Linked DNA regions of Mytilus edulis. Each later gene encodes a partner of the first gene's protein in a complex. Links are inferred from orthologs where the notes say so. Each region holds a gene or a part of one and is shown in the gene's direction. Other genes may lie near its edges.

Region 1 (7,723 bases):
AAGTCTCTGTATTACTTAAAAATTATTACACCAGAGTTTTTGATATCACAAACTATTCAAAAAATTTAATGAATTTTATCACCATTACAAGGACATCATTCGTAAATATAAATCAACATGCAGACATCTTATACGTTCAGGTATTTCACATCCAATATTCTATGGTAATATTCTTTACTAAGCACAAAAAATGTCGGCATTCACCTCAAAAGCTAACCAAACCGTTAAACAGACTTACTATAATGGTTTACTTTTATAAATTGTTATTTGGATGGAGAGTTGTCTCATTGGCACCTACACCACATCTTCCTATATCTAATTATTCGGAAGGATATCGTAAAGATACTATTGTCAAGTCATTAAGGATTGTATATTGGTTAACTCATGAGGTCTTTGCATCGGAATTCAAAACATTTTTCTAAAACCAGTTGTTGTCATGATACTCAGTGCTGTGATACTAGTTATGTTCTTCTCATATATTTTTTATGGTATGATACTAAACCCCTTTCGGAAGGGATGGTACTTGATTTTCATACGATGAAGACAAAATCGTTCAATCAGTTCGATTGAAGGCTGGAGCTGGTATATATCAGTAACTGCTAGCAGTCCTTTGTAAATTTATGTATCAATGTCATTTTGCTTACTTTTTTTGTTACCTATTCTGACATTGGTCTCGGAATTCTTTTAAACTGAGTATACTGTGCGATTTTCTGTGTTTCTTTAATCTACATTGGTTAGAGGTATAGGAGGAGGGTTGAGATCTTACAAAACATGTTTAACCCCGCTGCAATTTTGCACCTGTCCCAACCCTCGTTGTGGTCTATGATTGTGATGGTAAGTTTTTTTAGATCAGCTTGGGCGTGCCCAGGTGATCTCAAATGACGACGCCCAAGCTGATCTCAAATACCTTACCATCACAATCATAGACCACAACGAGGGTTGGTCGAAGGCTGACAGAGTAACTCGGGAAAGATTTTGGATTAGAAAGTTAAGGACAGTTTCCCCAGAGGGCATAAATGAAAAAAACATAGAATGAGTCACTCATTTTCCCTACCATCACTCATTTTCCTGTCATCACTGTTTTTCCTATCATCACTTGGTCCCAGTAACTCCGGCTTCCGTACTGGACTTACAGCTTTAAGAATTTAAGAAAAAAAAATATACCAGTTTAAATTACAGGGCTCCATTCATTCAAGTACACAGCCACGTTCAGTTATTTTACCTTAGTAAATAAAAATTTATTTATTTTTCTAATCATTATTTAACTGCTATTTTTTTTTTTGGGGGGGGGGCTTAAATATGCCGTCTCTGTTGCAATTGCCCTACCGTTGTCAAATTTGAAATATTATACCAACTTAGATCGGTTAGGGCGTTTTTGTTTATTTTTGGGGACTGTTATCCACGCAGTTGTTGTTACATTTTTACTGGCATCACCTTTGGAATTTTAGAGTTGTGTCAGTTCACATCGCAAATTACTATTTTTATTTTGGCATCTCTTTGCAGTCTTTGCGTCGTGTTTGGAAATTTTAAAATTGTACCAGCGTCTCTGATGTTCGCCTAAACTGTTTTTTGTTTGTGTATAAATTTCAAGATTGTGATAGTGTTATAATAAGAATAGATTAATTGACATGATTCATTTTAGTGGTCATACTGAAGAAGGATATCTGTAATCCGAAATAGCTAACATTTGTTCATTTTATTGTTATTTTATGGTGATGTTGTACCCTTTTTGACTTGTTAATATATATATATATATACATATATACAAGTCTAAATTGAAAACTACGTCCAAACCTATGACTGCGTTAGATAAAAACCGCAATTTTTATACGTGTGCATGTAAAACAAATTTCGTTGTAGAAGGGTCTAAATACAGCACAAATAACATTTTCCAAAAGACCAAAAAAGTGAAAAAGTATATAAAATACAGATGAAATATTTACTCCAAAAAGTAAAATCGACGAAAATGTCGCCATGCGAAGGCCACAAAGAGTCAACTTTCAAAAATATGCAATTAGAATTTGCTACAGGCATCCATTTTGTTTTTAAATCGACAGTATGTATGGACTACTGTCAAATTGTTCAAATATTTAAAGATAAAGAAAGTTATTCGATTTTACGGACATGAATTTAAGCATGGATGCAATTTTGGTACATCTCATTCACAGAACCATGGGCCCTAACTCGTTTGGAGGTCATCAAAATAAGCACATTGTCTTGATCATAGATAAACGTAGGCGAAAAAAAAACCCCAACATATGGTCCAATTTGAGTTGTTACAAGGATCTTTATAACGTACACAAAACATCAGTGGCACTCTTTCTAAACATGTCCAAACAACCAAACCTAAAATGTTACATATTTCATTTCTTAATTTTTTTCTTGTTTCTCGGCATACTTTTACTCATAGTCGTCTCATATTTTTTTTCTCTTATAATTTAGTTTTGGCTTTCTGATTTATGATTGATATCTACTAAATTTTCTATTGGTGATTTATATTTTCTCTGTTTTTTTTTTACAATCACCAGTAAACCACGGAGCCTTCTTACAGTTTTGTATTTTTTTATTATCAAGTTGGATATTTGTGCCAAAAGTACTCCTGGCTACATTAATTGGTATTTTTATATACTCCAAACTGGTGGCATTTATGGTTGTTTCCCTCATCGGTACGTTGTCAACCATATTTAAAAGTTGATTCAGTGTTTCGCTTACTATTTCTCCGTCTATATTATGAATAAAAGTCTGCAGTTTTCATAATTTCCTAGTTTCTATACATTTTTTTCATATTACGGTTCATACAAAACCACTTCATTTTCATTTATTCACGAGTCGTCTCGATTAATGATAACAGATTACATATATATAAAAAGAAAAAAGAAAAGACCCAACATAAATACTTCAACTGTCGAGCAGTGAGCTAGGACCCCAAGATAGTTTAAAATTAACATCTCGGTCATATACGAATGACCATGGCCATATATAGGAGGCTATGTCTAAAGTTATCTTTGTTTTACCATGGAAGTATTGTTTGACTGATGTTGCTACACCTAAAACTTGAACTAAACTTTTACTGGGTAATCTTTATTATTAGAAACATTAAAATGCCTCTATTTTAATTCCCTCTTATTCAATATATAAGCCGTGACATATATTTAGCAGTATCTTAGGAAACTTAGTATATTCTTTGTACATTTCTCACTAAAATGTAGATTATTATTTGAATTTTCGTAAATTCTAAACACATAATCTGAGACCACCAATAGGTCAATGTAATAGTCCCAAGGTATAATATTTTTTTTAAGGGGCACTAGCTGTCAAATTCATGTTCACCAATTTGAACAACTTATTTACAGTGCATGGGCCCGATAATATGAAGCTTCGTTTCGTGTGTATTTTAGTCTAGACGCCAGCTATATTTAAACTATCGAGTTGACCTCCGAAGTCCTCAAATGACCATATAAGCGATGTAAACACAAATATAGATACAAATAGATTTATCGAACTCGTGCAATTCGATTTTTCTAGGTCTGTTCAATTCATATCATAGATTAAAAATATATGTTTATCTTCATCGTTTTTGTCTGTATATTTTTTGTGGATCAAATCAGTCAATCAATCAATTGATTGTAAAAAAGAAGATGTGGTATGATTGCCAATGAGACAACTCTCCACAAGAGACCAAATATTACAGATATTAACAAATATAGGTCACCGTACGGCCTTCAACAATGACCGGCAAAGCCCATACCGCATAGTCAGCGATAAAATGCCCCGAAATGACAATTCAAACGAGAAAACTCGCGCGGCATAATTTATGTACAAAAAATGAACGAAAAACATAACACATATATAAACAAACGACAACCACTGAATTACAGGCCCCTGGTCGTCGGGACAGACACAAACATACAGAATGTGGAGGGGTTAGACATGTTAATGGGATCCCAATCCTCCCCTTACCTGGGACAGTAGTGTAACAGTACAACATAAAAAACGAACTATAAAAACCAGTTGAAAAGGCTTAACTCATCAGATGGATAAAAATCAGTACAAATAAGTATTACAAATACAAGTAGAAACCTTTGTTATCTTTCATGTTAACATTTTTTCCCTTTATAAAATAAATTTACAAGCAAAATTCATGCGTTATCCATCTTTTGCTAAGGGGTTAAATTGAAGTTTACATGAATACGGATTAAATGAGGTTGAATTATTCACTTGCAACTGAGTGAATAATTCATCATAGTGCCCCTTTAACCGCGAATAAAATAAAACAAAAACAATGTAAAAACAGTAAAAAAAAAAACTTAGATTAGAATAACACAGTAAGGTTATAGTTCTAGAAAAAAAATAAACAGAAATCAAAATCTACAAAACAAATGCCGATGTGGGCACTTTTCTACATTGGCTAGAAGGTATAGGGGGAGGGGGGGGATCTCATAAACATGTTTAACCCCGCCGCAATTTTGCGCCTGTCCCAAGTAAGGAGCCTTTGGCCTTTGTTAGTCTTGTATGATTTTTGATTTTAGTTTCTTGTGTATAATTCGGAGTTTAGTATGACGTCCATTATCACTGTACTAGTCATGATACATATTTTTAGGGGCCAGCTGAAGGACACCTACGGGTGCGGGAATTCTCGCTACATTGAAGACTGGTGGCCTTCGGCTGTTGTTTGCTCTATGCCGGGTTGTTGTCGCTTTGACACATTCCCCATTTCCTTTCTCAATTTTGGAGTTTGTTTGAGACTCCGAGATTTCACGCACATTGTTTGTAAATTAAAGTCTTCCATTTATTCATCAATAGACCAGCAAAATGGCTGCAACAACAAGAGAAGGTCCGTATACTATTTCCCCACTTCTCCCCTAGAAAACTTATATGAAACAACCTCAAATGTAGCAATATGACATTTTAATTAAATTTACATATAAGTAAACATCCACACACGTGGCTTTGTGTTGCAACGTATAATGGAACACATGTGTGTTAAAAGGTTCAAGATTTTATTTTCGAATTCTTGAATCTTGTCATACTACATTGTTCTTAGCAGTTCTTTTTCATAGTGGCTGTCTCGATCCATATCCAATACTATTTTAACTCATTGTGAATTAGAGAGAATCTTTACCTTCAGAAGATATGCTGCCCAACAGGGCTGATAACACGTTTCGGTCGCATAAGTTATAACCAGTTCAGCCATAGGTCATTTCGGCTGTAGAACTAGTTTTGCAATAGTCCATTCAGCCACACTAATTTTTCCATTAATACATGCATCATGTATGTTCTGAAAAGGAATATTATTTAAGTCATTTAGTTACAATAAGTTGAACAAGTGTAAAAAATTGCTTGTCTCCACCAGGACTCGAAACACAGGACCTTAGTCTTTAGTCTTTAGTAAGTGTCCCAAATGACACTGTAAACACTTGTGTACGTTTCCTCTTTTGTAGTTTCTTCACATATGTAATGTTTCAGTTTGTGTAACAAGGAAGCACTTATGGCTGACTAAATGTCTACCACATTTATGAACGAAAGCAATCCTGTCACACTTCCCCCACCTCAAGAGTCATCATACCATTATGACTCTCACACACATTCCCTAGCTAGAATGACTCTCTAACCACCTATATTATGTATAACATCATCATATCGGCACTAGTATAAGCACAAGAATACTATGAAAAGAAAAGGTGCCTTTGCAAGAGTATAACAACTACTGTGGAACTAAAAGCTATAACAAATGTAGTGCAAAGCAAATTTCAACTCATATCAAATTTTGATTATTAATTCCAACAGAATTAGGGTTAAATTAAAACATTTTAACCAGCCTGAAAAAAAACCCATGACTAGGCCTAAAATAAAATATTGTTTGTTTCCCCAATCCCAACCGACCCTGCAAAAACAGTGCTACTCATAAAATTTTATTGTCAAATTTAAGTCAAATATTATTTTATTCATTTCCTATTTTCAGGCTTGCAGGATCGTCCAATGTTGTTCAAGCTTTTTGGAAAAAATAAAATTATTTCCCTACCTTCCGACCCACACCTGGCTTGGCAGGGTCAGGATTGGGGAAACAAACAATATATTAATTTAGGCCCTAGTTATTAACGTTTTAATTTATGAAAAGAACTCAATCAACATAATCAATGTTGCATTGCAGTAGTAGTACATGTAAATGAAGAGAGATCTTAAAGATCATACCATTGAAGAAATTGATAACTTCAAGAATCAGTTAATTCAAATGACCAATGAGTCAGATATGAATTTTCTGGCTCTACTAAAGAAAGTTTTTAACAACCTTGACTGGCTACACAGCCCTTGCACGGTCAGAATTCTGGCTCCGTATTAATCCATATACTTGTAGAAATCAGAATGTGATATCCCTTTTCTAATAGGTATTCCACAGATACAACCAATTAAAAAAAAAAGATCTGTCTCTTTAAAATAATTAAGTAAAATAAGGGCATGAAGGGGATGTGGCATCATGGACATAGTTTCTTAAAGTTGAAAATTCAGCTTTTATTTAATTAAAATTTATATAAAAAAAAAGATGAAGTATGACTGCCAATGAGACAACTCTGCACCAGAGACTAAATGACATACAAAATTAACTACTTAGTGAAAAAATTAAAAAACTTAACTATGTTGAATTGCATCAAATAAAAAGGGGTAAGTCCAAGAAATCCCACTGACAATATGAACTATCCATTTAAAAACCCTACTCAAATATTAACATACAAATGATTCAAAATTAAAATGGAGATATTTATTTCAGAAATTGAAGAACAAGTACGAAATCTTCAACAAAAGAAAAAGAAGCTCCAAGATGGAGGGGCAGATGAAGAAGATGAGGCAAATAAAGTTGGTTTGGGAGCAGAAGGCCATTATGATACAGATATTTACAGTGCACATGGGAAGTTTGAAGGATATGTCACATCTATTGCTCCAAATGAAGAATTAGATGTAAGCAATATGTTTTTCTTCAAAAAAAGTTTTGATTTGAACATAAAGCAGTTTTATTGAAAGTTGGTTATGTGTTTTTTTATAATATAGGTAAGCTTTATAGAGCTTTTAACCTAACAAATACTCTTTAGTTTTTATTAATGAATTTACAGCTTTGTATGAATGTACATGTACACAATTTAAAAAGGATGATGGTAGAATATACTAAAGCAGATATCATATCAATTTTATGGTGATAAGGAATTCAAATTGTGTAACTTTCTAATAGCTGATCAAAGCTCCAGATAAGCTGCGTATTTGCGTGATCACGCAATACAAAGAATAAAAAACCCAATGCAATTGCCCATTGCAGGGTTCAATAACCCAATTAATTCAAAGGAAAACCCAATAATATGCCAAAACCATGAGTTCTCGACCCTTTTATTGGCTTCCATTTGCGTTATTTACCCTTATCTGTTTACAGTCGTCGCGTAAACTATTTTTATAATATTTATAATTGGAAATTTCCTTTCGTTCTAAAAATAGATCCCTGCATCAAGTAGCTGAAATGGGTCCCTGTTAGAGTTTTTCGTTGCTCAAAGGATACACGTGTTTTTGAAAACATTTCGATCTTCTCGGTGTTTATCCAATTAGCGTGTGTCATGTAGTCATATTTTTTTCGCATTGCTCGGGATTTATCATAACATACATTAAAACGAAAGTGAATGTCCGGTAAAAATATTGAATACAGAAGCATGTTTTCTGCTTCTTTTGAAAAGCTGAGGGAAAG
Region 2 (7,678 bases), on another chromosome or scaffold:
TGTTGTGGAGAAGCTGATAAGACCTCATCTCATGTCCTTCAGTCTTTGTGTTGTGGAGAAGCTGATAAGACTTCATCTCATGTCCTTCAGTCTTTGTGTTGTGGAGAAGCTGATAAGACCTCATCTCATGTCCTTCAGTCTTTGTGTTGTGGTGAAGCTGATAAGACCTTATCTCATGTCTTGTAGTCTGTGTGTTGTGGAGAAGCTGATAAGACCTAATCATCTCATGTCCTGTAGTCTTTGTGGTGTTGAGAAGGTGATAAGACCTCATCTCATGTCCTTCAGTCTTTGTGTTGTGGAGAAGCTGATAAGACCTCATTTCATGTCCTTCAGTCTTTGTGTTGTGGAGAAGCTGATAAGACCTTATCTCATGTCCCGTAGTCTCTGTCTTGTGGAGCAGCTGATAAGACCTAATCATCTCATGTCCTGTAGTCTTTGTGTTGTGGCGAAGCTGATAAGACCTCATCTCATGTCCTTCAGTCTTTGTGTTGTGGAGAAGCTGATAAGACCTTATCTCATGTCCCGTAGTCTCTGTCGTGTGGAGCAGCTGATAAGACCTAATCATCTCATGTCCTGCAGTCTTTGTGTTGTGGAGAAGCTGATAAGACCTCATCTCATGTCCTTCAGTCTTTGTGTTGTGGAGAAGCTGATAAGACCTCATATCATGTCCTTCAGTCTTTGTGTTGTGGAGAAGCTGATAGGACCTTATCTCATGTCCTGCAGTCTTTGTGTTGTGGAGAAGCTGATAAGACCTCATCTCATGTCCTTCAGTCTTTGTGTTGTGGAGAAGCTGATAAAACCTTATCTCATGTTCTGTAGTCTTTGTCTTGTGGAGCAGCTGATAAGACCTAATCATCTCATGTCCTGTAGTCTTTGTGTTGTGGAGAAGCTGATAAGACCTCATCTCATGTCCTTCAGTCTTTGTGTTGTGGAGAAGCTGATAAGACCTTATCTCATGTCCTGCAGTCTTTGTGTTGTGGAGAAGCTGATAAGACCTCATCTCATGTCCTTCAGTCTTTGTGTTGTGGAGAAGCTGATAAGACTTCATCTCATGTCCTTCAGTCTTTGTGTTTTGGAGAAGCTGATAAGACCTAAATGCATGTCCTGCAGTCTTTGTGTTGTGGAGAAGCTAGTAGGACCTAATCACATGTCCTTCAGTCTTTTTGTCATAGAGAAGCTGATAGAACCTCATATTATGTTCTGTAGTTTTTGTGTCGTGGAGAAGCTGATAAGACCTCATCCTATGTCCTTCAATCTTTGTGTTGTGGAGAAGCTGATAAGACCTCATCTCATGTCCTTCAGTCTTTGTGTTGTGGAGAAGCTGATAAGACCTTATCTCATGTCCTGCAGTCTTTGTGTTGTGGAGAAGCTGATAAGACCTCATCTCATGTCCTTCAGTCTTTGTGTTGTGGAGAAGCTGATAAGACTTCATCTCATGTCCTTCAGTCTTTGTGTTGTGGAGAAGCTGATAAGACCTCATCTCATGTCCTTCAGTCTTTGTGTTGTGGTGAAGCTGATAAGACCTTATCTCATGTCTTGTAGTCTGTGTGTTGTGGAGAAGCTGATAAGACCTAATCATCTCATGTCCTGTAGTCTTTGTGGTGTTGAGAAGGTGATAAGACCTCATCTCATGTCCTTCAGTCTTTGTGTTGTGGAGAAGCTGATAAGACCTCATCTCATGTCCTTCAGTCTTTGTGTTGTGGAGAAGCTGATAAGACCTTATCTCATGTCCCGTAGTCTCTGTCTTGTGGAGCAGCTGATAAGACCTAATCATCTCATGTCCTGTAGTCTTTGTGTTGTGGCGAAGCTGATAAGACCTCATCTCATGTCCTTCAGTCTTTGTGTTGTGGAGAAGCTGATAAGACCTTATCTCATGTCCCGTAGTCTCTGTCGTGTGGAGCAGCTGATAAGACCTTATCATCTCATGTCCTGCAGTCTTTGTGTTGTGGAGAAGCTGATAAGACCTCATCTCATGTCCTTCAGTCTTTGTGTTGTGGAGAAGCTGATAAGACCTCATATCATGTCCTTCAGTCTTTGTGTTGTGGAGAAGCTGATAGGACCTTATCTCATGTCCTGCAGTCTTTGTGTTGTGGATGAGCTGATAAGACCTCATCTCATGTCCTTCAGTCTTTGTGTTGTGGAGAAGCTGATAAAACCTTATCTCATGTTCTGTAGTCTTTGTCTTGTGGAGCAGCTGATAAGACCTAATCATCTCATGTCCTGTAGTCTTTGTGTTGTGGAGAAGCTGATAAGACCTCATCTCATGTCCTTCAGTCTTTGTGTTGTGGAGAAGCTGATAAGACCTTATCTCATGTCCTGCAGTCTTTGTGTTGTGGAGAAGCTGATAAGACCTCATCTCATGTCCTTCAGTCTTTGTGTTGTGGAGAAGCTGATAAGACTTCATCTCATGTCCTTCAGTCTTTGTGTTTTGGAGAAGCTGATAAGACCTAAATGCATGTCCTGCAGTCTTTGTGTTGTGGAGAAGCTAGTAGGACCTAATCACATGTCCTTCAGTCTTTTTGTCATAGAGAAGCTGATAGAACCTCATATTATGTTCTGTAGTTTTTGTGTCGTGGAGAAGCTGATAAGACCTCATCCTATGTCCTTCAGTCTTTGTGTTGTGGAGAAGCTGATAAGACCTCATCTCATGTCCTTCAGTCTTTGTGTTGTGGAGAAGCTGATAAGACCTTATCTCATGTCCTGCAGTCTTTGTGTTGTGGAGAAGCTGATAAGACCTCATCTCATGTCCTTCAGTCTTTGTGTTGTGGAGAAGCTGATAAGACTTCATCTCATGTCCTTCAGTCTTTGTGTTGTGGAGAAGCTGATAAGACCTCATCTCATGTCCTTCAGTCTTTGTGTTGTGGTGAAGCTGATAAGACCTTATCTCATGTCTTGTAGTCTGTGTGTTGTGGAGAAGCTGATAAGACCTAATCATCTCATGTCCTGTAGTCTTTGTGGTGTTGAGAAGGTGATAAGACCTCATCTCATGTCCTTCAGTCTTTGTGTTGTGGAGAAGCTGATAAGACCTCATCTCATGTCCTTCAGTCTTTGTGTTGTGGAGAAGCTGATAAGACCTTATCTCATGTCCCGTAGTCTCTGTCTTGTGGAGCAGCTGATAAGACCTAATCATCTCATGTCCTGTAGTCTTTGTGTTGTGGCGAAGCTGATAAGACCTCATCTCATGTCCTTCAGTCTTTGTGTTGTGGAGAAGCTGATAAGACCTTATCTCATGTCCCGTAGTCTCTGTCGTGTGGAGCAGCTGATAAGACCTAATCATCTCATGTCCTGCAGTCTTTGTGTTGTGGAGAAGCTGATAAGACCTCATCTCATGTCCTTCAGTCTTTGTGTTGTGGAGAAGCTGATAAAACCTTATCTCATGTTCTGTAGTCTTTGTCTTGTGGAGCAGCTGATAAGACCTAATCATCTCATGTCCTGTAGTCTTTGTGTTGTGGAGAAGCTGATAAGACCTCATCTCATGTCCTTCAGTCTTTGTGTTGTGGAGAAGCTGATAAGACCTTATCTCATGTCCTGCAGTCTTTGTGTTGTGGAGAAGCTGATAAGACCTCATCTCATGTCCTTCAGTCTTTGTGTTGTGGAGAAGCTGATAAGACCTAAATGCATGTCCTGTAGTCTTTGTGTTGTGGAGAAGCTAGTAGGACCTAATCACATGTCCTTCAGTCTTTTTGTCATAGAGAAGCTGATAGAACCTAATATTATGTTCTGTAGTTTTTGTGTCGTGGAGAAGCTGATAAGACCTCATCCTATGTCCTTCAGTCTTTGTGTTGTGGAGAAGCTGATAAGACCTAAATGTATGTCCTGCAGTCTTTGTGTTGTGGAGAAGCTGATAAGACCTAAATGCATTTTCTGCAGTCTTTGTGTTGTGGAGAAGCTAGTAGGACCTAATCACATGTCCTTCAGTCTTTGTGTCATAGAGAAGCTGATAGGACTTATATTATGTCCTGTAGTCTTTGTGTCGTGGAGAAGCTTGAAGAACCTAATGTCATGTCCTGCGTTCTTTGTGTTGTGGGGCAGCTGATAGGAAAGAATTTCGTTCCCTTCAGTGGAGAAGCGGAAACCCGGATCTATCATGCCCTTCAGTGTGTTATCAGTGGAAAAGCTGGTACCAGTTCTTCTCTGGTCCTAAAATGTTGAAATATTGAAGAAGCTGTTACCAGACAATCTCAAACCATTCAGTGTTTCGATAGTGGAAAAGCTGAAACCAGGCTTCCCTGTATGTCCTTTAGTATTATAACAGTGAAGAAGCTTATCAGACTGTCCCACTTAGTTCAGTGTTGTATATAACAATGTGCAGAAATTGGTACCAGGCTATCTCTTACCTTCAGTTTTGTAACAGTGCAGAAGATGATGAAAGGCTATATCCTGCCTTCCAGTGTAAATTGTAACAATGTGCAGAAGATGATAATCATCCAGTGTTGTAACAGTGCAGAAGATGATAAAAGGCTATATCCTGCCTTCCAGTGTAAATTGTAACAATGTGCAGAAGATGATAAACATCCAGTGTTGTAACAGTGCAGAAGATGATGAAAGGCTATATCCTGCCCTCCAGTGTAAATTGTAACAATGTGCAGAAGATGATAATCATCCAGTGTTGTAACAGTGCAGAAGATGATAAAAGGCTATATATATCCTGCCTTCCAGTGCTGTAACAGTGCAGAAGATGATAAATTGCAATATCCTGCCCTCCAGTGTTGTAACAGTGCAGAAGAGGACAAAAGGCTATATTCTACCATCCAGTGTTGTAACAATGAAGAAGATGGTACCAGTTTTTTTTTTATATTATGATAACTTAAACGATTTTTTTTAATTAACATATAATTATCTGAAACCATAATAGATTTTTTTTCAAAATCATACCTAAAAGTTAAGTTCATAACACTATATTTACCCTTCATATTTTGGGCGTTAAGTTACAACATTATTTTTATTTATCAGATAAAATAAGAAATATAAAATTATAACACTAATCTGGACTGGGTTGCACAAACGTCTATTAAAGTTAATAGTCTATTAAAAGTACACTTACATTTAATAGTCTATTATTTGTGTTGCACAAATTTTAATTAGCGTTAATAGTCTATTAACTCACTATTAAATTTAATTGAACGAAGGAGCGCTATTAAAACCTTAATTGTACATCTAAAATTGATGCCATGCAAGTGCTTGGATTACCTGTAACCCAAAATCAGCCGAAAAAGTACCGTGACAGGCTTTTCAACTCGATGATTTGTCAGACTGAGAGCTTCGCACAGCCGGTGATATCCCACATTGTATGATTTCGCAACAAAAAGAATTGTTTTGGTTATCATTAAAATAATAAGAGAAAGAAAAGATAAAAATTGAGAAGTTCTTGAAGCATAAATGAGATATGAATGGGGTGGTGACGGGGAGGGGAATCAGAGGGGGCCTGGTCCCGAAATCAAGGTCTTAAAAGTATGTTATCCCGAGGTCCCGAATTTAAAGAAATTTAAATCCTGATATTCCGAAATTTGAAAGTAGAACCGGATCAAAAAAGGTCCTGCCCTCCTCATGAATCTATTAGGGGAAAATGGTTTTATTTTAAATACGGCAAATATCATTGAACTGATGACAAAAAAACTTTTGCCCGCATCCTTGGAAGTCCGCTCCAAGGTTCAAACTGAACTGTATTTCTTAGAAAAAGATCGTATAAAGTCCCGGTCAAATTTCGGAAACACGTTGCACATAATATTGTGAGTAAAATCATAAATTTAGAGGAAGATTTACAGTTATAAGTTTTCATACGTTTTTCACAGTGGAGCCAAAATTCATGAAATGCGCGGATACACAGGACTGTGCATCGTACGATAACAATATTATACCGTCAATGATTAAACCAGACTGAGTCTTTGCTATGAAATAACAAATAGGACCAAATGTGTTTTAGGTTTTCTTCGTAAAATCTACATCCAGCAGATCAATATTGGTGTCAACATTGAAAATTAATACACATTTTCCCTGAAATAGGTTGTATAAATGAAGAATGTAATCTCCGTTGACGTTTTGATAAAGAGTGCTTTCTTTCACGTCCGCATTTCTATCAAGTATGGCACGCCAAGTTAACATTTTAATGATTATTACAGATAGGAAACACAAATAACAGAACAGTGCATGCACAATATCATACATTGTTATTCGTAGGACATACGAGAAACTACGTGGTGATTTTTATATATTACACAGTAAACTAATGTAGATTTTTTTTAATTAAATATGGCATAGTGTAGATTGTCCCTAATATTTATAACCAATAATTCATATTTAACATTTTTTTTCCATCTGAAAACTGTAATATAGATGAAAAAGAAAGTATCCGACACTTTTGTGAATCTTGGGTATAAACTTCAAATAAATATATGATATTGACATGTGATGGTGTTCATAATAACATAAACAATTATTGGATTTATGGGGGTCAACGGACGTCAGCCAGGTATTCCGACACCCCACTGGTCCAACACCCCATAAGTCCGATAAAGATTAATAACTGCCGCAATAGAAAATATACTTCATGAGTAGAGGTTTATGAGGATGTGGATGTGGATTTACAGAAAAGAGAAAAATGGGGGAGGGGGGATTTAAAAAATAGAGAAAAATGAGGTCCTAAAATAATGGGCAAAAAGTATAAAGAATAGAGAAAATGGCAAACATTTGAAAGAATACAGGTACAACCCCCCTCCCCAATCCAGACACCCCTTGGTAGAATAATTGTTGACATGCGTTCTAATTTCACAGAAACAGATTTTAGCATGCCACCTATCTGGTATAACTATCAAAGAAATACCATGACCATATATATGCATATAAAGAAACTGAATACCTTGCAAGTTTTGGTAAAAGAAGATCTATGGGAACAAATTCTACTAAAAAAAAAGAAACGTCATCAGCAGAGCAGTCTCTCTTCATAAAGACAAATCATAGTGATCAAGGAACGACCATTTAGCTTCAAGGGGGTTATGTTTTTTTCCTAAAAAAATTATTCAGATCCCCAATTTGATGAAAAAAAGATATTCTGGTCAAGCAGATGAAAAAAACATATTTTGAATGCAGTAAATATAGTGTTAAACAACACAAGCAAACATGCGACACGAATATTACTCTTTTGACATCCACAAAAATAAACTGTCAGTTTTCAATATTCCGATTTACCAGCATTTTTTGCTGTTGTAAACTTATTTTAACATATTCCTCAAAGAGAACGCGGCAAACTTTACAAAGTTCTATTTGGTTTATCACTGTTTTTATAGTTCAATGAATTAACTTTTAAAAATAATTCACTCTTCAATTAAGTAGTGTATAAACATTGTTGTACATATAGACTAACTAAACTAATGTTCATCTCAAAATAATTCTGAACACTGAACCAAGCATCTCACATACAATCGTCTAAGCGGTAAAGCCTAACTGGAGCCTTAACTTTCTAATTCCTCTGCTTTGGGAGAGATACATAGCTGTGTATCGTCATGTTAGTTATTCGATTAAGCTTTACAAAGTTTATTTAGTTTGACAAAATATCGCTACACCGCGTCTCAATCATTCTTTATTTTTGGGGGTGAATACTACCGACTACTTTCATTTATACATATCTACCAAACAACCGTGTTAAATTGCCTGAGCCTGCTGCAAGGCAAATTAGCGGCGG
Region 3 (7,740 bases), on another chromosome or scaffold:
TATCAATTAGTATCAGTAGTCTAAATATATTTGTAAATGTTAATCAATTAGTATCAGCAGTCTAAATATATTTGTAAATGTTTATCAATTAGTATCAGCAGTCTAAATATATTTGTTAATGTTTATCAATTAGTATCAGCAGTCCAAATATATTTGTTAATGTTTATCAATTAGTATCAGCAGTCTAAATATATTTGTTAATGTTTATCAATTAGTATCAATATATTTGTTAATGTTTATCAATTAGTATCAGCAGTCTAAACATATTTGTTAATGTTTATCAATTAGTATCAGCAGTCTAAATATATTTGTTAATGTTTATCAATTAGTATCAGCAGTCTAAATATATTTGTTAATGTTTATCAATTAGTATCAGCAGTCTAAACATATTTGTTAATGTTTATCAATTAGTATCAGCAGTCTAAATATATTTGTTAATGTTTATCAATTAGTATCAGCAGTCTAAATATATTTGTTAATGTTTATCAATTAGTATCAGCAGTCTAAATATGTTTGTTAATGTTTATCAATTAGTATCACCATAACAGGGTTGAGGGTAAATGGCATCAACAGAACAGATGCTAATGAATAAAAACATAAAATTACAATAAAAATGATTCAGTAACATTATACTTATAAATACAGGTGATGAAGACAAAATTAATTGAGATTTATAGTTTGAAGTGAATCAATGAAATCTAAATAGACAATATCTTATACAAACTGTTTAATAACTAATATGAGTATAATAAAAAAAAATAATGTTATAATATAGGGACAGTATCAATTCAAAGTTCATGTTTAAGATTTGGAAGCAAAATGCATGTTTAAATAAAACAGTTTTACACAATTGACAATACTCATCTTAACTGTTATCTTTTTAGATATTAGGGCAATCTAATTAAAATTAAATCCTTTAATTGCTCCTGTTCTGATATGTCGCGCATCAAGGCTTGATGCGCGACATATCAGAACAGGAGCAATTAAAGGATTTAATTTTAATTAGATTGGATATTAGGGTAACACTTCAACAATAAAACTGTAAAAATAAGATACATACTGCTGTTTAAGTCTAACAGACACATCTTCTTTCTTTGCAGTGTTGATATTAAATGCGGACATCTTTACAGTTTTCTGACTTTACGCTCCCAACTTGAATTCTGTCAGTCTGTAAAATAATAATCATCAGTTAAATTACTCATGAAGTCCTCTCTTTATTTATTTATCAGTCCAAAAAATGTAACATAAGTGTTTCTCAACAAAACACACAAAATCCTACAGTAGGAAATTTTGAAATTGTCAAGAAAGAAATTGTAAATTCAATTTCTAATGCAATTAGTTTGTAACGATAATTTTCATTGGACCTTGACAGATATTTTAAGGGGTTAGATTCCACGTTCTACCAGTCCATAACTAAGAAAGCCCCCATTTTGAAATCCGAAAAAGTAAAAATACTTTTAAGTATGTATGTTTGACAAATTTATTTTAATACATATTGTATGTGGCATTAGAATGGAGATAACTGTATTGTACTTTAAGCTTAGCCTTCGTAAAACTTGATTTTACTGTCGCAAATATCTGTTTATCTATCTATGCTCCGCATCAATAGGTAAACTCAATTCGCAACAGTAAAATCTACCTTTTAGGAAGGCCAAGCTAAAATACAGTTATCTCCTAAATACAATGCAACCACAATTGGTTTCACACTAGTCATTTTTGGGGCCCTTTATAGCTTGCTGTTCAGTGTGACAGTGAGCCTTGAGGCTTCATATAGGAGGCTGTACTTTGTCCTGTAATGGTTTACTTTTAACAGTTGTAATTCAATGGAGAGTTGTCTCATTGGCACTCATACCACATCTTCTAATATCTATTGATTTCAAATCTGAAATAGTATTTTTTCCATGTTTAAAATACTGCAAAAAATTGGGTTGATTCAATTTGAATTAAAAACAATCACTTAAATGATCCCAGACATGCTAGGGGTTCAAATTAGTTGTGGTCTGAAGTTCCGAGACGTATCAGATTTACAGTTGGACTTCCAATTTGGTTATTGGCCACACCAAATGTACTTTTGAGTTTTCAAGTTTCAGAAAGCATATTTGATGAATTTCTGTATGAAACACTTATAACTTGCAAATGTTTTATGGGTGCTTTCATTAAGATCCGCGTTCTTCATATTAACACATCTTCTTCTTCTTCTTCACATACAGAAAAACATCAACTGGTTGATGATTATTTTTTGGGGCATGCCTGGTTTAACAGTATTGTTAAAGGTTAATAATTATAAATATATTTTCTAATTTCATAGTGGTTGTAAACGTTGCTAAACCATGAGTTTGTTTCTCTTCTAATGTGGAGAAGCTTCCAGAACCTGTAAAATATTGTATAAAATACCAAACTGACTCTTATACGCATAGTGATATACACCCTTTATGCAGTCTCATACACCTTATCGCTATTCCCAGCTAACCCGGCCGCTTGAACTTTTAACGTCATTCAACAATCACTTTTCCATTGGGGCGTCAGATATTTTGTTTTATGACATCAAAATTTAATGGGAACCTGTGTGATATCTAGTAGTGGCGGACAAATAGCGATAAGGTGTATACGGGGTCTGTTCTCCGATCCCACTTATTGTTAAAGAGAATCCTGTATCTCGCTTATAGTTTAGTGAGAATCCTGTATCCTGCTTCTCGTTGCCACAATGGCGCATGTTATTTCCTGTGCCTCGCCAAGCTTTGTTTCTTGTTTTCATGCTTAAAAGGGCTCTTCACGGTTAGTTGGGCCATATTGGATAGGGGCAGATTTTCATAATGGAGGTAAAAATGGTGTGAAAAATACAGGAACACATCATTAAAACAGAGCAGTTGCTTAGAAACATGCATAAGAAATGTAAGATTTCCCACACTTTCATACTATTTCCACCTCTTTCAATAAAATCTGTCCCCTATTCAATTTGGCCGAACTAACCGTGAAGAGCCCTATTATTTGACTTTCACTTGTCACGCTTAGATAAAATCGGCCAATCTTGGTCACACTTATATAATAGACCCACCCTATATGTATGTACTTTCGAGAGATTCCGCCAATTTAGACACACCCCTTGATTGACTGCAAGGGTACAGAGGATCCATGTACACTCCCTAAGGATTAATGGAGATGTGTCCTTTACAATATTAACAATCCCTACCCAACACCGCCCAAGGGAGCCTGTAGGACACCGGGAAGTCTGTTATTATGGTGGAGGAAGCCAAAGTACTTGGAGAGAACCAACAGGCTACTCGGTGGAAACAGACAAACCAGAGAGATATCAGAAGATTGATCTCCAGGGTCAAAGTAGGGGACAATTTTCACCAACCGAGGCACCCAAAGTACCCATTTTTATAGTTTAAACTCCATTGTACCAGAGATGTGTGTGAGAGGGTGAAAATTACCCTTCTGATGTACTAATATGGGGACAAAGTCCCCAATAACGGTAGAAAAATCAATAAAAAAAAAAAAAAAAAAAAAAATCGGGAAAATTTCCTTTGTACTAATGAACTCAAAATCGTTAACTTTTTTTTCAGATCTACTTCTGTTTCCGGTCTTCTTCCGTTTCCGGTCTTGTTTGCATAAGACTTTGAATAAAATGTATATTTATCAACATATCAACAAATATAGGAAGGAACTCAACACCCAATCATTTTTAATATTTGTTTGATATGAAAAAAACGTTACCTGGATAACAGCGTTTCTTTGTTTATATTGAATATGACGTCATAACTTAAATAACGTCACAACTAAACCCCTAACAACAGAACCAACATCGGAAACGTTACGGTATTTCCGTTTCTTTTAGGCAGTGTCTGCGAGTACCCGCATGTGGGTACCAATAGTCAAATTGACATTTGTAGGCTATGCGTACCCACATCCAGTTTTATAATAAAATGTAATCAAATCGGAAATATATACAGAAATTATCGATAATATGGGGATTTCGAGTAACACGAGTGAAGCTAGGGTATGACAAATAATATTTTCGAATTTAATTTATAAGTTAATAATATATAATGAATGGTTCAACCTTGCAAATTAAATGCACATGTACTGATTGAATATGAAATATACAGTCCCTGTAAACTATAGTCCTATAATATATAATATCCGAATTTTAAGTTGCTTCCACGCCTCAGAGGCAAAATATTTGTTGATGCGGTGAAGGTTTAAATTACATTTTCGTCAAACATTTTGTTATCTATTTACGAAGCTTCAGAAATAATGTTTTAATTAGGCCTTAATTTTTCCTGTCGAACATGTTTAGAATTTTTTGCCTCCGTGAATACAGGAAAAAATTATTCTGTAAAACTTTGTAGACAAGAGTCAATGTTTGGACCTTTCATCGAACTTTACTGTTAAGTGGTGCCGTACTTTTCACAATTTTTTTTTTAATTTGAACCCCTGGATCCTGTAATCAAAGGCTACCGTTACCTAAATTTCTCCTCAAATCTTCATTTTACCGGATATCCAAGGTAAATATTTGGAAAGTCTCGCGAGAAAAATGGAGATTTTACTCTGGGTTTATAAGACGCTTAAGAGTTGAAAACGTACTTTTGTTTAAGATTAAATTGTGGGCTTAACAGCTGCTTATATCATTGTAATCCAATGCATATAAAATTTTATCAGCCTATATATTTCGCCGCTAAAAAGAATATGTAGCGCTATAAAAAGATATATTTCAGGCAAAACGTTTTTGCGACTTTGATAAACCTTAGCGACTTCCGGTACGTTTTTACTCGCAGCAATTTAGATATTGGAGGTGTTCTACTTCAAGATCACTTTTTCCAAAATGCCGCCTATTGAGAAACTTATATCTGTACAGGAAGAGAAAACAGAAGAAGAAATACAAGCAGCTAAACCAGTTATTGGAATCATATACCCTCCCCCAGAAGTAAGGAGTATCCTTTTAATGTCAACAACATATGTCTCTCACTCTTTAGAATAGAAAAAATATTAGAAAACAAAGTAAAGGTTATTATACATGTATAGTCTTTCTAAAGAAACTTGTGTAGAGGTATGTATGTTGTTTTCCTCCAGAGACAACTGTCTGTCTTGTAGTTGCACACAGAAAAAAAACAAATCCCATTATAATTTTTTTTTAAATCTTGCATAGATAAATAAGCTTAAATTATTAAGAAAGGGTATCAGGTCCATTCGCCCTACTTACATATTTGCCCTGAGTTCTTTCGCCCAGAGAGTCTGGTCGCCCTGGGATCGGTCTCTCTACTTTTATTAAAAAATATTAATATTTGATAAGGGTATTAAAGTTTAACAAACTTATTCAAATATTTATATAATGCAAGTTCTTAAAAAATCATGAAAACGCATGAAATTATCTAAAAATGATGGTGTTTTTATACCCCCGCTTTAAAAAAGGGGGGGTATACTGTTTTACCTCTGTCTGTCCGTCGTACCGTCCGTCCGTCAGTCAGTCCGTCCCATGAAACTTTCGTCACATTTTTCTCAGGAACTACACATCCACCCTTTCTGTAATTTGGTATCAACATTTACATATGTCAGCTATACCATGTGATGCGTTTTCAGATTCATCACTTGACAACTTCCTGTTTACCGAACACTTGTCTGATTTTACACATGATAGCCAAATTGAAAATTTTCGTCACATTTTTCTCAGGAACTACAATACAAGGATTTCTGAAATTTGGTTTCAGGATTTATATAAGTCAGCTATACCGTGTGATGCGTTTTCAGATTCATCACTCGACAACTTCCTGTTTACCGAACACTTCCATAGTTTTACACTATTAATATTATCCACTTGCGGCGGGGGTATCATCAGTGAGCAGTAGCTCGCAGTTTCACTTGTTTTTTTTGCATTAATCATGTTAATTAACGCTAATTGAAGGTAGTAATTTGAAGCCAAAGTTTAATGATAGTCGCCCGTTAGCATGGTTAGTAAACAATCATCAACGAAGCATAGGTATTTAGGTAAGCACATGTATAACATGTACAATAAGAGATAGTCTATGATGATGACAGAGCGATGATTACGTTTGGTTTTCCATTTGCACTTGCGTATTGAGATCTCGGGATTTTTACAAGAAAGGTCCGTCTGAGGTAACTGCATATATGGAAAACATGTTGGCGAATTGTTTGCTGGAAGCAAGCAATTAAAAAAAGTCAACTTCTTCTTAATTTTGACAAATAATAAAATTTTCTTGAGAAAAAAATATATATTTACTTAAGTTTTATAATAAAAACTATCCATTTAGTCATAAAAAACATATACATAAAAGTTTCATATGACTTTAAACATGTTCACTAACAATCAATCAATCTTGAGCAGTATATTGCTGAAGCATGTTAATACTATATTAAGATAAAATATCAGTATGCAGCTTAAATTTCACCTCTTCAATAAAATTTAACCAATGTGCTATATATTTGACTGAAAAACTCTGTGCCCCTGGTGCTTTAAAGGCTGGGGATAATATGGTTTAGCATTTTATAAATATAAAATATTATGATAAATATTCATTGATTGTCTTCAGGACAGTAGCAATAAAGTATATTGGTAAGTCATGTAATTTAGTATATTGTAAGTTAACATGCTTAAATCAAGTTTAATAGTTTACCAGCAGTATTGATACAATGTACAATAAAGTATATCATGTATATTGGTAAGACATATTAGTACATTTACATTGTTAGTTAACATGCTTAGGTCAAGTTTAATAGTTTCTTATGAGTATTAATAAAATAAAGTATAATATTGGTAAGTCATGTAAGTATTATATTGTTAGTTAACATGCAAAGATGAAGTGTAGGTGTATCAATACTCAAGAAAAGAGCATAACAGAATCTCAGTGTTCCTAAATTGGTGTATTTATACACAAGGAAGGAACAAAATAAGAATTTACTGTTCCTCTGCAAATTGGTCACAAGTTTGCTGTACTATCAGTATCTGTCTTTAAATCTCATCTCTTCACATGTAACAAAATTTTACAACATACATGTACATCTATCCCAACCATGTCACCCACACATGAATTTGTTCATGTGTTGAATCAAACTAATTTTTGTATTTATTTTAAATTAAACAATTTGTGGTTAAAATTTAGAATCTGCAACTGTGTAATTCTCATTCTGTTGAACATGTACAGTTCATACATGTATATGAGTACAAAAATTATGAAATCATTAAGTTATTGTAAAAGGCAGTTACATGAAATAAGGTTTATAGGCTAGAGTGATACACATGAAACATATTCAGTTCATATTCAATTCTTCCTCACAACATTTGAAGAAATTGTTAGTTAAGAATTTTTCAAATATTGATACTTTTGTTAATTGAAAGAATTTATTTTTATTTTACCTCTTTGATCTATATAGACCAGAATACTACACTGAATTGTAACATATATCATTTCTTTAACAAGGATTCTAAGATATTGTAGACAAGACTGCTAGCTTCGTTGCCAGAAATGGACCTGAGTTTGAGAGCAGAATCCGTCAGAATGAAATTAACAACCCTAAATTTAATTTCCTCCAACAAAATGACCCATACCATGCATATTACCAGTATAAAGTCAAAGAGTTCAAGGAGGGCAAAGGTAGATAGATTGCTGGTGTTTAAATAATACCTACTACAAGTACAAAGTCAGAGAAAACAATGGTCATGATATGGATAAGATTGTTATGTTATGATCTGCATTTACAATATATACTTTATTCTAACATGAC
Region 4 (6,925 bases), about 1.8 Mb from region 1:
GGTGCGACATGTTTATGCTGGACAGACGGATAGATAGACGGACAGACGGACGAACCGAATGACTGATGGATGGAGGAACGGACGGATGGAAGGACGGACGGACGGACAGACGGGTGTATACAATAATACGTCCTGTCAAAATTGGGACGGGCGTGTAAAAACGCAAAGAAATGGAAAAAAAACTCGTAATTAAAGGTCAATAAGTTTTATTAGGATATCGGTCAAGTCGATTTATTTGTATATTTGTCTGCCTTATCATTTTTGCTATATAACTTTTATATATATTTGAAAAAAAATGTATAGAAATCGATAAAAAGAACTTGATATTCGGCATTTATTATAATAAACATAATCCAACTCACATAATCCGATTTCCCGGGTGTCCCTGTTTTCTCATTTCTTACAATATTTTAATTCGGTATACACTTTATAAGATAAGTGGCGAATCTAGATGACGTATAGGTTGCACGCCCCGACCCCACCTTTGGTTGCCAAAACTATATTGATTCCTGTATTTAACGATTTTGTAAAGCAAAAAATAATAGTGTTCGACTCGCTACGCTCGGCGGTATGTAAAAGTTGTTCGAATTACGTCCACTTTGAAATAAACTGAATCCGTCTGTCCGTATATATATTCACCAACGTCAGTGTACGACCATCATAACACAACGGCGACAGTACAGACTCGTTTTTTTTATGCCCCACCTACGATAGTAGAGGGGCATTATGTTTTCTGGTCTGTGCGTCCGTCCGTCCGTCCGTTCGTTCGTTCGTTCGTTCGTTCGTCCGTTCGTCCGTCTGTCCTGCTTCAGGTTAAAGTTTTTGGTCGAGGTAGTTTTTGATGAAACTTGGTACACATGTTCCCTATGATATGATCTTTCTAATTTTAATGCCAAATTAGAGATTTTACCCCAATTTCACGGTCCACTGAACATAGAAAATGATAGTGCGAGTGGGGCATTCGTGTACTGAGGACACATTCTTGTTTTAGTAATGTTAACAAAATAATTATTATTGAATTTTGTCGATGACCTGAGACTATTATACTAATTTGGACATAGCAGTATAGTTACAATAAGGGATAAAAAAAAATATTTTAATGCATGGTAGTTGTAATCCTACATTCATTTTCTATGTCGATTATGCATGCATATACAGTTGTCTTATTATCAACGTTTATCCTTAAGAAGATTTATTTTTAACGATTGTAGAAAAGATTACATACATAGAATGATTAGATTACTTATAAAGGTGTCCATCCTTTTGTGCGAGAAAATCACATATCAATTGTGTGTTTCGATTTTTAAGACCGTAAACTTTAATTTCAAGTTTAAACATGTTCAACATATTTTCCCATAACTCATATAGAAAACGCATATTAAGAGAGCTTTAATCTCAATATGCTGTTAAAAAATTTCGGAATGCAAAGTAAATTAAAATATTTGTGTTCTATAGAGTAGGAATTCAAGTTTTTGCTTATTATTTATTTGAATCTGAGACTCATATAAATAATAAGACGTTGTCCGGTGAACGAACTTGTTTTCCAACGACCCACAAAACTCCTTTTGAACGCTGAAGTTAAATAATCAATTATAATGTAATGCGATTATGATTTTTTTTATTTGACCAAACCGGGTTATGCATTTTGAAATCTATGACGAAACCGGGTTGTATACATTGACGAAACCGGCCAGTTCCATTTTGACATGACCCATTTCTTTCGTTCCATACACAAAGATACAATTATGGAGATGCTCATAACAACTAAATTTGCAATCTCCGTGTCAATATCTATCTTCCCGTACCTTTCTTTCCGTACAATGTGAACAATTTAACGAGAAATTAAACAATTTCGAGGCAAGGTTCACTCAATTCGTCATTTTGACATGCATTTTGACTTATTTCTCCGTTAATATAGAACGGTTGTAGAAAATATTGCATCTCACAATAGAAAATAGTTGTATATGTATATATATTCTTCAATATCATAAAAAAAATAAAAAAATAAGGAGAAACCTAGCTTTCTTCTGTCTATTAATGTTCCGTCATTGTGCCGGATGTTAGATACCATCGAGTCCGAACAAATTTTGCCGGTGTGGTTTAGACACAGTGACGTGTATACAATTTCGTTTAAAAATCGCCGGACAAGCCATTTACGTACCTGTTACCTTAAGTGAGAGGATGTCTATCATATAAAGAACGGAACGTCAATTCAAAGGGTAATGCTAGCCATTTTTTCTATGAAGCCCCTGTATGATGTACTTCGTGTAAATAAAGGAACATGTCGGCAAGAAGTGGAACACATCTAGTTCCCATGGGAATACAGTTTATTTGTTTAAAAAGATGTCCTGCAAACGTTATAAATATGTTGTCAATCAAGATATCAAACATCTTGATAATGTAAGTTTCAGAGATTTTTTTTACAAAGTATGTATACAATAATTTTTTAATCGTCCTATTAGAGAACGTTAATTGAATCCGCCTCTGGTTGTGGAGGGTGCGGGGGTGTTAAAGATCCATTGGTGCCTTTCGGCTGTTTTCTGTTCTTTTGTCAGTTTGTTGTTTCTTTGATACATTTCACGTTCCAGTTCTAAATCTTATTAAATTGTGTGTATTTAACAGTTAAAATTTTTTAAGTGTCCACATATGATCACGCCGCCCCTAGTGTAGGTTGTTTCACAATCACTATGATGCCCGGCTTTACTGAAATGAGTGGTACAATTTATTTTTAGAATATATATATTTAGAAAGGGGTTTCGTTGATCACGAGGATGACCAAATAATATATAAAGTTGTTGGTATGGTTAAATATGACCATGGCGTTGTCAGTTTATTTTCGACTTATGAGTTTGAATGTTCCTGTGGTATATTTCGCCTCTCTTTTATATAATTTAGGTATCTAATACAGCGAAGCAGGAACATATATATATTAGATAAACTGTTCCCAGCTGAGCGAAGGAAGGTCCATCCCTTCGTCTTTAGTTGATATTCCAAAGGAACATGTACATTTTTTTTATAGAGTATTGATTCAGATTACTTACACTCCCCTCTCCCTTTTGTGGATTTTTTTGTTCTAAAATGATATATCCCTAAACATTTTTGTATCTCTACGCGCGGCGGATATCTTACCTATTTCGACATCTAAAGGAGCAATAGCTACGAGTTATATAATAAAATCAAATTACGATAATTTTTTTATTCAATCATTAACGAAAGGGAAATAGTGAAATATTAACTTGCGATTCGCGTTTAGCAGCCAGTATGGTTCAATTTTGTCAAAATAAGATAAGAAACATCGATGATGAATTAATCACTTGCAAGAGACCTCATCTAATCCGTTACGTATGATTTATGCGTGTCCAGTTATTAAAAGAAGATATATGACCGTCGGTAGTTTTCGTAGGTCATCATGATAAACCATTGGATGGTGTTTAGACTAAAAAACACACGGAATTCTGACATATATTATCTAGTACATGCATTTATAACTGTTTATTCAAGACTTATTATAATTTGGATTGAGTAAACTGTGTGAACATGGTTTGACAGCTAGTGTCCCTTTAAATCCCTCTTTGCTGTGATATTACATATTTCATTAGAATCAGAATTCATTTTGACTGCTCTGCAAGTTTGCAGTTGTATGCGTATCCCACCAAACAAGTGCGTTAATTGTAGCATAACTCTCCCGGCCTTCACAGTCGAGTTCAAAGTGAAGTCATAAAACTTTCGAGTCAGTTTTTTGTAATCGTAATGTCGGATTTCATGTTTCGAGCATGCTTTTTGTGGTCCAAGCACTGAGCAAAGTTTTATGACTTCAAGCCCCGGGCGTCACGGATGAGTATTCAGTTGTAGATGCGCGCCAAGGGCAATACAAAATTTTAAGATCAGTTAGTGTAAGACGGAAACACTACGTAGTTGGTCCGAAACCGATACAATGAGCTCTTTCGTTTGAAGGAGAAATAATCATTATTCCCTTTTGAAGATTTTATTATTCTATTTTCTTACATTTGCTACGAGAAAACAGCACACACCAAGGAGTGTACAGGTTAAATAGATAGTATTTCAAACTTACCCTTTTCACCTTTTAGCGGATTAACTGCTACAAGAAAATTATACATACTTATTTGTTTATAAGAGAACGGTGTCACCATTTCATTTGTCAAGAAATTGTAACCCTTTAAAAATTCATTTAAAAATTCAGAAATTGGTTGACTTGACAAAATACACGTACCTAGGCATACACACACATAGAGAGAGAGCATAGCTACAAAGGCTAATTAAACCAGGGCCTTCCTCCAAAGAAATGATTAATCTCCAGCTCTCCCCAATAACAGGTTGGGAACAAACCCCCTGGATGGTGATTATACCTGTATAGAGGGATAAGGTAGCAATACACAGTTAGAAGTTTAGTTTCGCATTATGGCCCCTGTGAATTTTTTAAATATGAAAGTTTTTGTACAATAAAATTGATTTTTAGATAATTGAAGAATAATATAGCCTTCTTAGTGTGTTTATATGAACATTAAGATTGTTTTTAACATGTTTTATAGGCCATTTATATGATTGACAGTCCGTATTTTCTTATCCGTACCGTTCATAGGTCCATACATTATTGTAGTGTTTATCAACAAAGATTTTGCGCTCGATCTTTTCAATTCAATTTTATGGAAAAACGAGCAGATAAGCATATGGTTTTTTTTGGGACCACTTGATAGATATAAACCTATGGATTCAGGAAAGGTATCACTGTAATTGATTGAAATTTTCCTTTAGACCAAATTTTGGAGACTTTTGTGACATGTTCACCCCCCTTTTTTGTTATATTTTGTATCTAAGAAATGCAGATTGTTGCCATGGTTACACTCAAGAGGGATTATATTTCACCCTTATGACCATTAAAAAATCAAATCTATGGAAGATTCTCTTTCTATAAGTATATACATGCATAACACACATATAAAGCCTTCTTTGTTAGACAGGAGGGGAAAGAGGGTGTTTAAAAATTATGAGTGTCAATTTTAAGTTTTTTTCCTAACTGTGTATTGCTACCTAATCCTTCTTTAGAGGGTAAAAATTATCACTCTATAGAGGGGTATTTTTGTTTGCACTGGATTTAAAGCAAATTAGGGCAGAATGGCATTTTCTAGGTATATTGGCTATAATCTCTAGCATTAAATGCATCAACATATGCACTTTACTAAAAATTGGGATAACCAGTTTTCTGCTAAAGTGACAAAACTTGCAATCTATTGTATACCTATCTGAGCACCTGATCAACAACAAAAGGAATAGTTGACCTTTAAATTTCATGTTAAATCTAACAATAGAAATTCTGTTCAGTGAGGCATACATGTAAGAGTAGATTTTACCTGATCATCACATCTTTCAATCATGGTTAACAATAGATTTTATATTTAGTTAGATAAGCATCAAACTGGGCATGTGCATATTAAATTAAGTACATCAATTGGTGCATCAACTGTTCCAGGTTACTGCCATAATAAGAAGAGAATGCCATTCTGCCCTAATTTGCTTTAAATCCAGTGCAAACAAAAATACCCCTCTATAGAGGGATAATTTTTACCCTCTAAAGAAGGATTATCCCTCTATACAGGTATAATCACCATATAGGGGGTTTGTTCCCAACCTGAACAAACCTATAGTCCGCAAATAGTCAAAAATAACATAAGGCCACACCAATTTGATTCCTTGTTCGACAGACCCGCCCGCACCTATTTTTTTCAAAACAGAATTTTTTTATTTTTTTATATTCCTGCTTCCCGCATCCGAAAATTTAATCATGTCCATTTCCCGCACCGTTTTTTTGTAAATATTATAAAAAGATATCAACATTTGTTTTTAAAATCACAGTCTAACGTGTATATAACGATTTTAAACATAAAAGCACCCCACCACACTGTAAATATCTGTGAGAATATTTATTTCAGCATGAAACCAATTTATCCCAAGCGGGAGTGCTCCGTAATAACAAGGATTTGTATAGGAAGAAATAGCGGAAATACCTGAACATAATAAAACATTGGTTTCTTTCCCCCTTACTTATATTCCCTATCAAAAATATTCGTTGTTAGAATGAAGTACAAAAAACTTCTGAAGGATTTGCCTTCAACTGCAATTATATTGTATGCTGGCGAAACAAAACTATCCATAGCCGCTGCATGTTTATGCACCTGTCCTGATTGATTCAGGGGCCTGTCGTTCAGCAGTTATCGTTTGTTGATGTTGTTCATTGGTATTTTTCCGTTTGGATATATAGATTAGATCGTTGGTTTTCCTGTTCGAATTGTGTACGCTGACAATTTTGGGGTCCTTTATAGCTTGCTGTTTGATCTGTATCAAAGCCCTGTGTAAAAGGCCGTACTTTGACCTGTGTTTGTTATTATCAGGCTGAGAACAACCCTCTCTCAGACAACATGGACAAGGGGTCATTTTACTGATGTAGAAACGAAAATAGAAATACCAAGGATTTGTATAGTTCTTATATACAAAACCTTTAAAAACTTAGAATTTTGTACTCAAAAGAGGAGAGTTGCATCATATTTTAAAAAACTTTTCTAAAAGAGGGGTCCACTTATTTTGAATAATATTAAACTGTTAAAGTAAATGTGTTAACATGGTTAAAGTCCAGGAATATTACAAAATTCTTGGACATGTTTTGACCATTTAATACCAGATAGATATATAGTTCTTTGAGAAAATATGAGCCCTTTTGTACAAACAAATCTATTATAACTTATATTGATCCCTCATAAAACATGTAAAAGGTATATTTATAACATTAAGGGGTTGCCCCCAAACTGATTATGACTTGGATGGAGAATTGTCTCACTGTCAGTGATACATGTACATACATAGACCAGATTTAATTATTTCTTGGTGAACAGGGAAAAAATACTTCAGAAAT

Evidence for each region.
Region 2: the proteins of splicing factor 3B subunit 1-like (region 1) and splicing factor 45-like are in contact, whole or in part, in a crystal structure (PDB 2PEH), measured with the Homo sapiens proteins. The link is inferred for Mytilus edulis from reciprocal best matches to the Homo sapiens genes SF3B1 and RBM17. Residues at the interface, in NP_036565.2 of Homo sapiens: Arg334, Ser336, Arg337, Trp338, Asp339, Glu340, Thr341, Pro342; in NP_001139019.1 of Homo sapiens: Leu309, Met312, Val313, Asp319, Asp321, Leu322, Glu325, Thr326, Glu329, Leu372, Arg375, Tyr376, Phe377, Gly378, Gly379, Val382.
Region 3: splicing factor 3B subunit 1-like (region 1) and splicing factor 3A subunit 1-like share a complex: the UniProt entries of both Homo sapiens proteins name them as parts of the 17S U2 SnRNP complex. The link is inferred for Mytilus edulis from reciprocal best matches to the Homo sapiens genes SF3B1 and SF3A1.
Region 4: the proteins of splicing factor 3B subunit 1-like (region 1) and ATP-dependent RNA helicase DDX42-like are in contact, whole or in part, in a cryo-EM structure (PDB 7EVN), measured with the Homo sapiens proteins. The link is inferred for Mytilus edulis from reciprocal best matches to the Homo sapiens genes SF3B1 and DDX42. Residues at the interface, in NP_036565.2 of Homo sapiens: Pro509, Pro510, Lys513, Arg517, Thr520, Asp557, Arg558, Tyr561, Lys562, Asp565, Leu566, Arg568, Pro569, Ile583, Ala607, Ile610, Ser611, Arg614, Glu622, Arg625, Asn626, Arg630, Pro646, Phe647, Ala650, Val651, Lys653, Ser654, Lys655, Lys656; in NP_031398.2 of Homo sapiens: Asn68, Glu71, Glu72, Tyr75, Phe76, Glu77, Asp78, Glu79, Glu80, Glu81, Asp114, Pro115, Leu116, Glu117, Phe119, Met120, Val123, Ala127, Asp130, Met131, Arg133, Leu134, Gly146, Ile147, Arg148, Ile151, Glu152, Glu153, Glu154, Asp155.

The regions. Positions count from the first base shown.
Region 1 is NC_092345.1:84,715,974-84,723,696, reverse strand, and holds the start of splicing factor 3B subunit 1-like, read left to right. Parts: upstream 1-4,706; 5' UTR 4,707-4,812; coding exon 4,813-4,834; intron 4,835-6,766; coding exon 6,767-6,954; intron 6,955-7,723. UniProt on the Homo sapiens protein: Component of the 17S U2 SnRNP complex of the spliceosome, a large ribonucleoprotein complex that removes introns from transcribed pre-mRNAs.
Region 2 is NC_092344.1:3,344,277-3,351,954, forward strand, and holds the start of splicing factor 45-like, read left to right. Parts: upstream 1-4,663; 5' UTR 4,664-4,678; coding exon 4,679-4,777; intron 4,778-7,678. UniProt on the Homo sapiens protein: Splice factor that binds to the single-stranded 3'AG at the exon/intron border and promotes its utilization in the second catalytic step. Involved in the regulation of alternative splicing and the utilization of cryptic splice sites.
Region 3 is NC_092346.1:97,751,253-97,758,992, reverse strand, and holds the start of splicing factor 3A subunit 1-like, read left to right. Parts: upstream 1-4,731; 5' UTR 4,732-4,825; coding exon 4,826-4,934; intron 4,935-7,445; coding exon 7,446-7,610; intron 7,611-7,740. Other genes in the region: zinc finger B-box domain-containing protein 1-like, read right to left, coding at 1,061-1,122. UniProt on the Homo sapiens protein: Component of the 17S U2 SnRNP complex of the spliceosome, a large ribonucleoprotein complex that removes introns from transcribed pre-mRNAs.
Region 4 is NC_092345.1:82,959,311-82,966,235, reverse strand, and holds the start of ATP-dependent RNA helicase DDX42-like, read left to right. Parts: upstream 1-3,917; 5' UTR 3,918-4,045; intron 4,046-6,925. UniProt on the Homo sapiens protein: ATP-dependent RNA helicase that binds to partially double-stranded RNAs (dsRNAs) in order to unwind RNA secondary structures. Unwinding is promoted in the presence of single-strand binding proteins.